2 linked regions of the Lytechinus pictus genome follow. The protein of the gene in region 1 interacts with the protein of each later gene in a pairwise test. Links are inferred from orthologs where the notes say so. Each region holds a gene or a part of one and is shown in the gene's direction. Other genes may lie near its edges. The genes, in order: DNA replication complex GINS protein SLD5-like and DNA replication complex GINS protein PSF2-like.

Region 1 (7,796 bases):
CACTAATCTTTTTTGCATTCATGAAAAATTATTATACGTATAAATAGGGTAAAAATCAAAATTCAATCTCGGCAATTATGTCACAAGCAACATGCATGCCAATTTCCATTGAAATCATGCAGTCAACAGCCGAGATTTTACAGCCACTCCCCCCCCCCCCTTTAATTTGTCATCTTTTACAGTGTTATAGAAGCTTTTAATAGCAGATGGTAACTTGTCAAGCTATGGACAATATTAAAGAAAATTGACCTACTTGTCAAGTCTATAGAATCTATCAATCACTGCATGAACTGTCTTCTTCTTGCCTTTGTTTTTACTGAATCGTATCACTGTCCTATTGGGTTGATGGTTAAATACTTGAGGTTTCACAAATTTCTGGTTTATACTGCCGGAAAGAAAGAAAGAAAGTAAAGAAAAAACAAAGTAAGGCAAAACCCTTCATAGCTAATCTGATTTAAAGGACCAAAGCATCAATGATGTTTCATCAACACAGATATCCCTAAAAGAATATTATTGCCAAACATAAAACACAAGCTTCTCCCTTTTTTTCTGAGATATGGATAAGCAATATTGTATTGCTCTCCTTTACAACAAAGCAAATTACACTAATTCTTGAATATTGCATGAGGAGTCAAGCAATATTTTTATGTTGATAAAATCTCCAATACATACATGTATTGTAGCCTGTGAATATGAATAAATATCACTGCTTTATAGAACAATCTTTACATGTATAACTCCAAATTTATGAATCTTTATCTGATAAAGATAATTTATCTGATTTCAATCATAGTAACAATTATGTTGTTTTATTTTACTTCTTTATTCCAATCAACCTAATGGACATAATTTCCCTCTCAATAAAATCTATTTTTGCTGTAGCTACAGTTACATGAAATGACATTATTGAAATATTGTGGCATAAAAATTTCAATGAATCATACCTCATATTGTAAAGGTGCAAAAGCTAGTATTTTAGAGTTTCAGACAGGGAGAAATGGTTATCATAACTTCAGCATCCAAGGAAAGGATTATAAACAGTAAAATCTAACTTCTTTGACTACATGTATGTGTGTGTATACGTTTGAGTTTTTACAGACCTGTATCAATTAGATATAATTAATTACGTATGGAACCAACCTTTAACATCACCATCTGAAAGACGTGATTAGGGCTCAAGCCTCGAACCTCTGCATCAATTTTAACTTCACCATGTAGCTTGGCTTACAGGTGCATGCCATATCAATAATAGTTCCCAATAATTCATGCCTCATTATAATATTGTAGCTTCATATCCCACTTGGAAGTACGCTTAAAGTATTCACAAAATTTGATAAAAACTTACATTTCGTTGTAGCTAAATCCCCCGGTGTACCTGCTACATATCAAGCTTGAGAAGGACCTTCCCTGGATCTGACCTCTAGCAACATTAGGAGCTGGAGCCTGGAGATTTAGCCCAGTCAGCCTGGAGCAAACTTGAGAGAGTTCAGAGCTCCTCCAGTGATCCTCCTGAATAGCAGTGGACTGGTGGAGGGGTGCAGAAGCAATACCCCTCAGGGATGCAAGGGTTACACCCCTAATGGGAGTGGTCAGTGGTGATACCACTCCATGTTGAATGCTCTTCTGATTGATACATCCAGTACGCCATGGAGTAGAAGCTGGTGACAACAGTTTCTGCTGAATTTGTGGAACTGTAGGATAAAATAAAAATATAAGTGTGTGTACACACAAAAAACATATGTTTGAAAAGAATCACATGATTCTAATTCTTTAACCTGGATTGAGTCAATGGCAAAAGTAATTAATTACTATCAACAATGTTTTATAAAATCAATTGCAATGACATACTTTTCAAAACCCACAAAACAAAAAAATATAATTCAAATGGAGGTCTCATTTTTTTCTGCTTACTGCTTGAATGACTGCCAGAAAAGTAGGCCTACTCCTGTCATATTTATGTAGAAAATGCTTTCAAGTATGTTGAAAACTTGCAGCCAAATCAAGACCCTAGTTGGTGGCATGAGTTTTATGACATTTTTCTTATCATTCTTTATTTGAGGTCTAAATTTGACCTCAAAATGTACATGTATAAATATATATAATATCACAAATTAGACTGTCTAATTTGTAAAATATATGCTAGCATCATAATGAAACATGATTTCATGAGGCAACATTATGCAATAATTACTAATTTTCTTTTTCTTTTCAAAAAATTCATTTTTATTGGTTTGCTTTATCTAACTTGGGTTGATTTTGGCTGTTTATTTATAATAAATGTAGAAAACAAATAAAAAATGTGATACTGATTATGATATTTTAAAAAATAAGATTTTGTAATGTCACATGCGTCACATGAGACAAGTCTGACCAGGCCAGATCTGACCATGGACCTTCTGAGACTAGGATAAATGTAGAGATCAATTATGTTCTTGATGCAAGTTCCAGCTGAAATTAAGGGAATTGGATCAATTGATTTAATAATTAGATATTGGAAAGTAAATCTGGGCAGATATTGAACAAAATTATAAAATAATTATTTTCCAATTTCTGCTCAGATTTACAGTAGGGGTGCTGGGATCGTCCCAGTTTACAGGAACTGTCTCAGTTTTCAAAGATTTCTCCACACAAGAAATCTAGGAAAGTTCATTCACCTGTCAAGTGCCAAAATCAATCAAGTGCGCTAGTCAATGTAAACATATCAGGTTTCATAACAAGATTATTGGAAGACAACAAGTCGTGAAAAATAGATGGTAAACTGGGGGGAATTGAGGTCACTGAATCTATTTTTAGCACTCTTAATCTCCGTAATTGCCGTCTATGTCCTGAAGGGTTAAGTGAAAATAAAAAACTGTCCCCATAAACAAGGACAATCTCAATTTATCAAGACATGATTTGTCTTGGTTTATGAGGATATCCTTGTTTTCTGGGACTGGGACAATCCCAATTTTTGGACCAGCGGCGCCTCTAGTGCTGTCTGTGTACGAGGAGAAATAAGAACATTTTTAAAATGTTTAAAAACTCCTCGAAATAGATGGCTGCAGCTGTATAAGCCAGAACAGGCAAGAATAAGGACTTAGCATGATCACCACGACACCCGCTGTAATAAGAAAATGCACACGCTGGAAATGGTACATGCATCAGTAGAGGCGCACGGCCAATATGGGAGACTTTTCTTTCTTTTGCAAAGCAAGTCTCCAATATGGAAGATTGTCTCCCATATTGGAGACTTGCTTTGCAAAAGAACAAAAGAAACGGAAAGACTTCCTTATGTCCCCTCCACTAATTAAAAAAAATACTTCTCCAAAACCCCCTTCTTTCGTTCTCTTTTTCTTCTTTTTTTTTTTCTTCTTACTTCCGGTTGGAACTTGGATTCGAACCTCTCGCTGCAGAACGAGCATCTCCAGTCTATCGCCTTACTCACTGAGCTAGCAGGAATTGTTGAAAGCCATGGGTTTCATAGTGGTTATCAACCGATATTACGACTAGTCTACTCTCCAAGAGTATTGGGTATTTATTTTTCTGACTAAATAAACCAATGCCATTGGGAATTACACACTCAAAATTCTGACGGAATAAAGCCATACTTTGGTATGTATCCAACTTTTCCTTCTTAAATCTCTTAGATATATGTTAGATAATTCTTGATAAACCTTCTCCATATTTCTTTTTTTTTTTCAATTTTAGTGGAGGGGACATATGGAAGTCTTGCCAAAGAAACAACGCCAACAAAAGCATAATTTTTTCCACCCAAAATTTTGTCTCACTGAGTCTGAGGCCAGAAGCCCATTTGTTTTGAAATTTTGTGTGTGGATGACAACAAAAATCCTTCTCAAAACAAAGTAGACTGTGAGTGTGAATTCTTTAAGTAAGCAGTGAAAAAGGGGTTAATTTTTCATGAGGAATCTGCTTATCACATTTTTATTTGCCGCCAAGGTCAAGGACAATGTAATCCTTTTGCAGCAAAGTTTCAGTTTGGGCTTTGCCTTTGGCAAAGGCCAAGCCAAAATAAATGTAAATTAATTGGTCTCTCAAATTGGAGACTGTCTCTGAAATAGGATACCCATTCTTTACAAAACTAAAGTCTCTGAACTGATATAGAGTATAGGAGATAATCTCTCTCAGACTCATGGGAGACAGTCTCCCAAAGGCCAAAGGCAAAGTCACACATTGGCCGTGCGCCTCTAATGTGCATTCAGACATTACTATCATGGGCACGTGCGATTCTTACACACACAAGTCAAGTACAAAAATCACAATTCCGTGTTGCAATAATTTAAATAGCACAAGAATTAAAATGCCGAAAACAGTCGCTGTGCGCTGAACAGTACAACACAGTCACAGACCCTTAATCAACCAATATATTCAAACTTCCACCATATTCAACAAGTTAAAAAATATCAACTCAACTATAGATCAAATCGAAAAACGCTGTCAAAAATAAAATATTAGCAAAATGTGAAGATTTAATTTCATTTTACCTAAACTTTTACCAAAAATTCTTCTCATGGAAGCTGCCATCTTTTTAGACTGCGAGCTGCCTAGGCGCCCTCTGACGGTCACTTGCACTTTGGGCAAAGATTCGCGCGAAAGTTGAGACAACGCAACACAAACGAAACCAAGACCAAGAAGTCAAATAAAACTACCAAAATGTCTGAAGAAATTGACGAAAGCTTAGAAAATGAATTCTCTAGTGATGAAGAGGAGGTAGAGATGACTGCTGCAGATGTTCTTCAAAAGTTGGAGGAGGTACCGTACATTTAACTAATTGTTTTTTGTTTTTTTCAAGTTGTGAATTGTGTGGCGGCCGCGGTCTGGTCTGTCTGTCTGCCAAGCTGGAGTAGAGTCAGCCAACAATAAGCTAGCCAACAGCAAGCCAGCCAACAGTTCCAGCCAACAATATTAGCTATCTAAGATAAATCAGATACAGGATTTTGCGTGCGCAGAATAGCACGCATTCTAGGACAAATCAAACAAACGGTGGGGTTACCCTTCTTTCAATTTGTTTAAACAAACAAGGGGCTAGTTCCCATGTCTTAGTAGCACTCCTGTTCAGGGGCGGCGGAGCGAAGTTGGAAGTGGGGGGCACAGAAGAAAAGGGACATTTCCTACCTTGAAAATGGCATTGTTTAATGCAAGAAACGAAGCGAGCGAGCCGGAAAAAGCCAAACAAAAGCCCCCCCCAAAAAAAAAAAATAAAAAATAATAATGAAAAGAAGAAGAAAAAAAAGAAGAAAAAAACCACGATTTTCTGGTTATTAGGTAGCCCGCACCCCTATATAATATAGGATGTTTCTTTGTATATTGAAGAGTAAATTAGAATGAATGTCTTCCTGATAAGGGCCAATTGGAAGATTGCTCCTGAAATATATTTTGGGTGTGTGGAGGGGGGTTTCCCTTCTTTCAATTTGTAAAGAAAAACAACGGGCTAGTGCTTTAGTTTTAGTAGCCCACACCCCTATATACTCTATGTTTTTTCGTATATTGAGGAGTAAATTTCAACTAAAAGTCCTCTTTATAAAATACAATTGGAAGATTGCTCCTGAAATATATTTTGGGTGTGTGTAGGGGGGTTTCCCTTCTTTCAATTTGTAAAGAAAAACAACGGGCTAGTGCTTTAGTTTTAGTAGCCCACACCCCTATATACTCTATGTTTTTCGTATATTGAGGAGTAAATTTCAACTAAAAGTCCTCTTTATAAAATACAATTGGAAGATTGCTCCTAAAATATATTTTGGGTGTGTGTAGGGGGGTTTTCCTCTTTTTCAATTTGTAAAGAAAAACAACGGGCTAGTGCTTTAGTTTTAGAACCCCACACCCCTATATACTCTATGTTTTTTCGTATATTGAGGAGTACATTTCAACTAAAAGTCCTCTTTATAAAATACAATTGGAAGATTGCTCCTGAAATATATTTTGGGTGTGTGTAGGGGGGTTTCCCTTCTTTCAATTTGTAAAGAAAAACAAATGGCTAGTGCTTTAGTTTTAGTAGCCCACACCCCTATATACTTTATGTTTTTTTCGTATATTGAGGAGTAAATTTCAACTAAAAGTCCTCTTTATAAAATACAATTGGAAGATTGCTCCTGAAATATATTTTGGGTGTGTGGAGGGGGGTTTCCCTTCTTTCAATTTGTAAAGAAAAACAACGGACTAGTGCTTTAGTTTTAGTAGCCCACACCCCTATATACTCTATGTTTTTTCGTATATTGAGGAGTACATTTCAACTAAAAGTCCTCTTTATAAAATACAATTGGAAGATTGCTCCTGAAATATATTTTGGGTGTGTGCTGGGGGGTTTCCTTTCTTTCAGTTTGTAAAGAAAAACAACGGGCTAGTGCTTTAGTTTTAGTAGCCCACACCCCTATATACTCTATGTTTTTTCGTATATTGAGGAGTAAATTTCAACTAAAAGTCCTCTTTATAAAATACAATTGGAAGATTGCTCCTGAAATATATTTTGGGTGTGTGCTGGGGGGTTTTCCTCTTTTTCAATTTGTAAAGAAAAACAACGGGCTAGTGCTTTAGTTTTAGTAGCCCACACCCCTATATACTCTATGTTTTTTCGTATATTGAGGAGTAAATTTCAACAAAAAGTCCTCTTTATAAAATACAATTGGAAGATTGCTCCTGAAATATATTTTGGGTGTGTGTAGGGGGGTTTCCCTTCTTTCAATTTGTAAAGAAAAACAAATGGCTAGTGCTTTAGTTTTAGTAGCCCACACCCCTATATACTCTATGTTTTTTCGTATATTGAGGAGTAAATTTCAACTAAAAGTCCTCTTTATAAAATACAATTGGAAGATTGCTCCTGAAATATATTTTGGGTGTGTGGAGGGGGGTTTCCCTTCTTTCAATTTTTAAAGAAAAACAACGGGCTAGTGCTTTAGTTTTAGTAGCCCACACCCCTATATACTCTATGTTTTTTCGTATATTGAGGAGTAAATTTCAACTAAAAGTCCTCTTTATAAAATACAATTGGAAGATTGCTCCTGATATATATTTTGGGTGTGTGCTGGGGGGTTTTCCTCTTTTTCAATTTGTAAAGAAAAACAACGGGCTAGTGCTTTAGTTTTAGTAGCCCACACCCCTATATACTCTATGTTTTTTCGTATATTGAGGAGTAAATTTCAACTAAAAGTCCTCTTTATAAAATACAATTGGAAGATTGCTCCTGAAATATATTTTGGGTGTGTGCTGGGGGGTTTTCCTCTTTTTCAATTTGTAAAGAAAAACAACGGGCTAGTGCTTTAGTTTTAGTAGCCCACACCCCTATATACTCTATGTTTTTTCGTATATTGAGGAGTAAATTTCAACAAAAAGTCCTCTTTATAAAATACAATTGGAAGATTGCTCCTGAAATATATTTTGGGTGTGTGTAGGGGGGTTTCCCTTCTTTCAATTTGTAAAGAAAAACAAATGGCTAGTGCTTTAGTTTTAGTAGCCCACACCCCTATATACTCTATGTTTTTTCTTATATTGAGGAGTACATTTCAACTAAAAGTCCTCTTTATAAAATACAATTGGAAGATTGCTCCTGAAATATATTTTGGGTGTGTGTAGGGGGGTTTCCCTTCTTTCAATTTGTAAAGAAAAACAAATGGCTAGTGCTTTAGTTTTAGTAGCCCACACCCCTATATACTCTATGTTTTTTCGTATATTGAGGAGTAAATTTCAACTAAAAGTCCTCTTTATAAAATACAATTGGAAGATTGCTCCTGAAATATATTTTGGGTGTGTGGAGGGGGGTTTCCCTTCTTTCAATTTTTAAAGAAAAACAACGGGCTAGTGCTTTA
Region 2 (7,274 bases), on another chromosome or scaffold:
ACCCTTTTTCTTTTGCATGTGCTCAAAAAATGGTCTGGGTAAAACACTTATTGGATGAAAATTTTGATGCTCCATGGGAAAAGATTGGAGTAGCCTTTTTAGACAAATTTAATCATAATATTCAAATTTTGTGGAAATCTAATGCTCCTGAGAGCATTTTAAACAGTCTTGGTAATATACAATTATCTGAAGCATTGTGAATGTGGTATTCATTTATAGGGAGGAAGCTGCTGTCGAATTTTATGGTAACAAATTTTCAGACTTGAGTGGTTGTCAACTTCTGTGGTATAACAAATTCATTCGTTCAAAAACTAAACAGTATCTTAATTATCCAATGTGGCATGAGAGAAATGTCTTAATGATGTCAGACTTATTTAATCCCCCTCTTTTAGGCCACAAAATCTTTGAAGAGCTTGTGTTAGATTTTGGAATCCCCCAAACAGACAGAAGGAAATGTAATTTTTTAATTGAGTGCATCCCGGAAGAATGGTTGATGAGTTTTGACCCTGATATTATAGGTGTTCATGAAACAATTGTACATAAATTGTTGAGTTATAAAAAAGTCCCTAGAAATTCATACATTTTATTTAGGGGATCACACACACCTGTCAAAAGATACACTTATTGGGATGAACATTTACCAATACCAGTATCTATCGATTGGGAAAAGGTACATTATACAATTTTTTTTGTACCATTGATACTAAATTAAGATCATTCTATTTTAAGATTTTTCATAAAGCCATAGCATTAAATGATTTTTTATATAAGATTAAATCTAAGGACTCACCCAATTGTGTTTTCTGTGATAAAAGTGAGGTAACAATAGTCCACCTGTTTTGCGAATGTGAAAGGGTAATTCCTATTTGGCAATCCCTTTTAACAAAAATTTCCCAAAATAATGTTCAAATAAATGGTTCTAATTTTGAAAAAATGTTTGGACTCCCAGCTGATAAGTTCATTTCATACCTTTTCTTACTTTTGAAGTATTATATTCATACATGTACATTTAAGAATAATCCTCCAAGTTATGCTCTTTTTAAAAATTTTTTTAAAAAACAACAGGACTTGGAATATTTGATAGCTAAGAAAAAAAATAAGTTGCCCGCTCACTTTAAGAAGTGGCGATTCACCTTATAATTTGGTTTTCAAAAATGTCAACAGGTTACATGATAACTAATAATGTATATTTTGTATAACAGGCTTAGTGCCCCATTTTTTAAAAGTAATACTGCACTGTATTGGTTATATGGTTGTAGACATCAGTTCCCATTTTTTTAATGCAACTTGTATCTCAGTTTCCTTGATATACTTGTTCGTTTAAATACCTCCATATTTATGTCGTCTTGGATAACTAGTTGTGTTTTTTAATCCTATCAATAGTTGTTGGGAAACCATTTTATAATCATAGCTTGTATATTTTGTTTTGTCTACTTTATTTACCAAATCACCTATCTTTGTTTAGATAACACTGATATTAAGTTATCACTTTGCCACATTCCTTTTTTGGGGGGTGGGGGAGGATAAGTGGGTAGGTTTTTTTTTTTATTATTATGGTTATTTTGTCTTTTTTGTATAATTAACTTGTGTTTATGTGATTTGCAATCACCTAATAATCATTTGTAAATTTTGTGATTTATTTCAATTTATAATAAGAACAGAAAAAAAAAAGGAAAAAAATTTGAAATGTTATGTAACTATTTGTTCATGAAATCAGAATAAAAACAGTATTTTAAAAAATGTCAGTGTATACAATTAAAGTAACCAATACTATAATAGCCATAAATGTATGTATGTGTATTTATGCCCCCGCCCATTCTCTACGTGTGAGGGTGGGTGTGTGTGTATGTCAGTGTATACAACAAGTAACCAATAAACATAAATGTATGTATGTGTATGTATATAGCAAGAGAAAAGATATTTCGTCGACTCCGATTAGGTCATATAGGACTAAATGAAGATCTCTGGCGAATGAAAATACACCCAACGGGACAGTGCAATTCATGTCCGGAGAAAGAAACAATTGAACACTACATTGTAAAATGCCCTAAGTATATAATTGAAAGGTCGATGCTTCTTGTCGAGGCAGACATCGCCGATCCCGAGGAAATCCTTAGGCTCCTGAATTCTTGGGACCCAGGTGTCCAAAATGCACTGTTTTTTTTTTTTTTTTTCGTGAACGAAAGAGAGAAATATATCTATTTGATTAGTATGTAATTATTTATTTGTTCATATAGGTACATATGTGTGTATTTGTGTATATATATATGTCATTTATATGAGTATGATGACCACATGAGACGATGGTTATTGTTCTGTTTGTTTTAGAATAAGATGTATCTCTCTTCCCTCTGGGTTATATTCCTTGTATTCAGTAGAGCTCATTATCATTTTGAAAAAAAAAGAAAAAGAGAAAAAAAAAGAAGAGAAAAGAGAAAAAACTGAGAAAGACAAAGGAAATAATAAAGAGAAAATAAAAGGGAAAAGAAAGGAAAAGGAAAGGAAGGAGGAAAAAAGAAAAGAAAAAAAAAGAAGAAAATGGAAGGAAGAGGAGAAGAAATGAAAGGAAAAAGAATAAAGATGAAGAAATTGAAAAAAAAATGTATATGCATGTGTGTGTATATACATATATTTTTTTTTTTTACTAACTCGATCATATCCATCTAACTTACAACCTTGATTTAACAATGCACCATTTCATTTATTAAAGCCCTCATTTTGGATGCCCCCATAAATTTCGAATAATCCGAACCTCCCCATATCAAATTTTATATTTTCTCTTTACAAAACAAAACAGACATACATGTATTTGATTGGTAATTATATGCGAGATCATTTCACGGGAAAAGACTCTTTAACAGTTTATTGCTCTATTTATTTTCCGAGTTTCAAGACTATAGAGTATCCCAAAGGGAGCCCCCCGGGGGGGGCACTCGACCAAAAAAGTGGTAGGGGTGTGCCGCGGGCGAGACAAAAAACGGGGGCCTTGGAGCGGGCTTATTGTAAAAAGGAGGGTCCTCGGAACGGGCTCGGAACTACAAATGTTTGTGAAAACGGGGGTCCTTGGAACGGGTCGCCTGCGTGCGAGTGCGTATGCATCCCTATGGAACGTGCATGCAGCTATAGCCCGGCGGCACGACTGACGGGCGCGCTAGCGCAGAGGCGATGGTCGGGCAGCGAGCTGCGGCCGCTTTTCACCAAAATTGCGACCGGAACGGCGTAACGGAAAATATGCGATGCCCTGGAGCGGATTTTTTTCTTCTTTTTTCTCGAAAAGAAGAAAATGCTATGCTTTGGAGCGGCTTTCTTTGTTCTTTTTCTCAATAAGACAAAAATGCTATGCCTCGGAACGGAAATTTGAGTGTAAAAATGGGGGTCCCCTCCGCGGCACATACCCACTATGCATTATATACTGAGTGCCCCCCCCGGGGGGAGCCCCCTGTCTACACCGGAGAGACAGGACGATGTCTGGACGGTGTCGCTAGAAGGGACGGGATCATGCGGTAACCTGTAAGATACGATAGCCTTTATAATAATAAAAATTATTATTAAAAAACAAAAAACAAAAACAAACAAAGAAAGGAGAGGAACGATTATAAAGGACACGTCAAAGAAAAGAAAGAAAATAATAGTTGACCAAACGAGTTGGCGGTAATAGTCAAATATGACTGGTCGCCATTAATTTCCAACAAACAACAACATATAAATACCCGTTTGCCTTTTTATTTTTTACAATAGCATATTGCGAGCGGGCGAAGCGTGCGAGAAAAAAAAATCAACATTTGCTTGATTTGATTTCACCACAGTGACAATCAAGATAATGATAATGCATAATAGGTTATGGAAAAAATGTAATAATTTTAATTTTCTATCATGAAACCTTGAAGGGTTAACATAAGTTTTGTTATGATATGGAGACAAGAAAAAGCGAAAATGTTTGCTCTTTGTTATTCTCCCCTCCTCTCATTTTCTTCACTTTTCTTCCCCGATTCCTTAAATCCTCTCCTTTAACTTTATGTTATTCTTATCCCGTTTCTCTTCTCTTTCCCCTTTTTTCTCCTTTTTTGAAATCTGTGATGGATTGTCCTCAAACCTTTACCAATTTTTTTTTTTTTTTTTCTGATATTCGATCACTAAAACTTTTCGTCGGGGTGAAATTCCCCCGGAAATTCCCCTCGCCTTTTAATGGGATTTCGCTGAGGTAGTAACTCGGCCAAAATTTTGCAGCTTTAGCCAATTAGCCGCCGAGATGCATGAGAGAGATCGAGAGAATGAAGATTGAAGAAACAGCGAAATAATAATACACCAGCGGGAAATTAGATTGAGCGAATTTGGACAAGTTGTATCCATTCTATTTATGGGTTTGGGAGATATTTTAACATGGTATGTATTATGCATTGGTTGGGAATGATCATACGATTAATGCTTTTCTCGTTTTTGTTTTAAATCTAAGATCAATCAAAAGTTCTGACTCTGAGGTTCATAAAGACATGACAAGACAAGATCAAAGCTTTGGGTGAACTACTTACCCTGGTCCCATTCGTTGTAATTCGCGTAGGCCTAACAAGTTAGTAGTAGACAGCTGGCGCTGGCACAAGTGGCAGCTGCAGCCCACTCTAGGCGACACCCCAATACTTACCCGTGCTAATAAAGTGGGACTCCGCTCACGCGCGTTTGGGCCTCCCTAGCTTAGAACTAAGCAATATTATCTAGAAATCGTTACATTGTAGTAATTAAATATGTTCTATTAAATAAATTGATAATGTTTAATCGGTACTCACCGGTTCTTTTGTTGCATTTTCAGACCATTTCTCACAATTCTTCGTAAATATTTGCGGCAAATTTTGTCGCCATAGACAGCTTAGCATCCATCTTTATTGATAAATGGAGCGCCCTTTACGATTGTTGTTAATGCCGCGGAGAAATCGTTAGGCATTTTGGCCTGTGTTCAAGGCGTTCTTTCTGTTTTATTTTTAAATAGATTGTGCATTTGTTGAATAGCGCCGTCTACGTCAGGTATGAGATCGAGTGTATAAATACACTCTTCCAAAATAATTATGATTCCGACCTGGCGCTGTTTAACTTCAATCTCTTTCACCTAAATTAGCGATGAATGCTAGCATTATAAAATATATATTATTAACGTCTGACGAAAAGAATAACCAACCGATCAGCTGACGAGAACGCGAATCACGTGATCTTCATATCAGCTTCGATCGCGAGTCAGAAGAGAAGAGCAGTTGCCCAGAAAATCAGGAAAAAGCCGTGAAAATGTAAGTTCCCCTTCATTTCTTTCAATTTTTTTTATTGCTAACAATGTATTCAATTAGTGAGATCGAAATGTAATGATTAGACAGTACGATAGCTTGTAGTTTTGATAAAATACAAAAATAATCATCTTCACAAAGATTTCTGACACAAAATACTACTGATGTCGCCTATGAGGTCCATACATGTAATGTTGGACCTCATTGGTACTAGGAGTGCTGCAGCCGTCTGTTTCGAGGAGTTTTTTAAACATTTATATATTTGTTTAAATTCTCCTCGTACACAGATGGCTCGCGATTGTGCAGCCGCCATTAGGGGGTAAATAATGCAAAATCCCCCTGACGGGGCCGGGCTCATCGATTTTTGTCTTTATTTCACAAAAATAATATAGGCCTAGGCAGGCTAGCCTAAAAAGAACTGGACCAAAAAAAAAAGATTATAATTTTATATTAATATTATTAGATCTATTCTGTTTTGGCTTGAAATGCACCAAAAGTGGGAAAAAATAATTTAAAAAAGACAAAACAGTGACTTAATTTGGCTGGGGATCGAAGCAGCAGCTGCGTGTATTTAATATTGGGTCTCCCAGATCCGGATAAATCCCTTATCCGGATTGGTGCTGGAAAATGCATTTTCTCCCTTCGCTGATGGTGGCGTATGATGTGCAAAGAAGTTCATGCCTACGGCTAGGCACTAAGTGCAATTCGCCAGATTTAAAGTGCTTCTATGCTAGTATATAGGGATTATGGCATAAGGCATTATTTTAACTCTGAAAGTCTCTTTTTGTATGTTTTGACATGGAGATCAACAAGAAAATGGTCAAACTTGTGTATTTTGTAAATGAAAAGAGCAACATCTTGTTTGGGTTTTGTTCTTAGCTGGAGGATGTGTCTGAAGTTGATGTCTTTCTAAGGACTTTTCTTTGTATCCCCCCCCCCCCATCGGCTTCATAAAAAGGTTGAATAATTCTTACGAAGAAGGGTTCAACCAAAGACACTGTTCTAAGGCTATTCTAACTTTAAAAGTAAGAGCTGCCACTTAAAAATTTGAATGTATTGAAATGTATAATCATATTTTTTCTTGTACTTATGCCCATATGTAACAACTGATTTGACTGAATTAAGTTCAATATGTATTTTTTTTCTCTCACTTGTTTCAGGACTGATTTTCAACTAACTAGAGGCCGCAGAACAGGAAACTTGTCACTTTGCCTTCACAAACTTTCAAGGCCTTTACATGTACTTTCATGAACTAAGGGACAGACTCACCTCATTTGATGATACTGATAAATTAAGAAATTAACCTGTCAGTTTCGGATCTAAAAAAACAAACCTTGAATTTGAATTTTAAAAGGGGGAAGGGAAAGTTTAAAGGTGTCATGTGCACTTTTACACAAGCACAGATAAAGGATTAAAGTGGGACTTATAGTTCTAGATTGGCTGATGTGCTCCTACTTTCCTAAAGAACATTGGAATATCAAGACTTGAGACTGCACTCTGATGCATATTCCTTGAAGCAAGACAACTCAGATGGTGCTGATTTGAAGAGAAATATTGGCTGTGTACACTCAATCAGAGAGGTCATACTCATAAGACCTTTCATCCAAACAATTGAACAGTGTGGGTATGGATCCGTCTGAAGTGGAGTTCCTGGCAGAGAAGCAGGAGGTCACGATCGTTCCCAACTTCTCCCACGATGAAGTCTTCTTGATAGCGGGCAACGTTGGACCGTTCAATCCTAGTTTACCCATGAAGGTCCCCCTCTGGATGGCTGTCAATCTGAAACAGAGACAGAAGTGCCGGATCCAACCACCAGATTGGATGAATGTCGGTAAGTTATTCATGGTTGGTGATAGGAGGATGGAATGGTTGGGAGAGGGACAGTGAAATGAATTGAATGGAATATGTGTTTGTGCAGGGAGGGGGGGGGGGTGAGGTGGTTTATGTAGCTAGTTATTACAATTATATTTATCAGCTAATATCATTTTTTTCCAAATCAGAACTGAA

The links.
Region 2: the proteins of DNA replication complex GINS protein SLD5-like (region 1) and DNA replication complex GINS protein PSF2-like interact in a two-hybrid assay, tested with the Drosophila melanogaster proteins (2 studies listed by BioGRID). The link is inferred for Lytechinus pictus from reciprocal best matches to the Drosophila melanogaster genes Sld5 and Psf2.

Annotation. Positions count from the first base shown.
Region 1 is NC_087256.1:9,160,349-9,168,144, reverse strand, and holds the start of DNA replication complex GINS protein SLD5-like, read left to right. Parts: upstream 1-4,650; coding exon 4,651-4,749; exon of another isoform or gene 4,750-4,835; intron 4,836-7,796. Other genes in the region: large ribosomal subunit protein bL35m-like, read right to left, coding at 254-385, 1,346-1,691, 4,482-4,521.
Region 2 is NC_087246.1:48,469,796-48,477,069, reverse strand, and holds the start of DNA replication complex GINS protein PSF2-like, read left to right. Parts: upstream 1-4,128; 5' UTR 4,129-4,383; intron 4,384-5,107; exon of another isoform or gene 5,108-5,273; intron 5,274-6,427; 5' UTR 6,428-6,893; coding exon 6,894-7,098; intron 7,099-7,274. UniProt on the Drosophila melanogaster protein: The GINS complex plays an essential role in the initiation of DNA replication.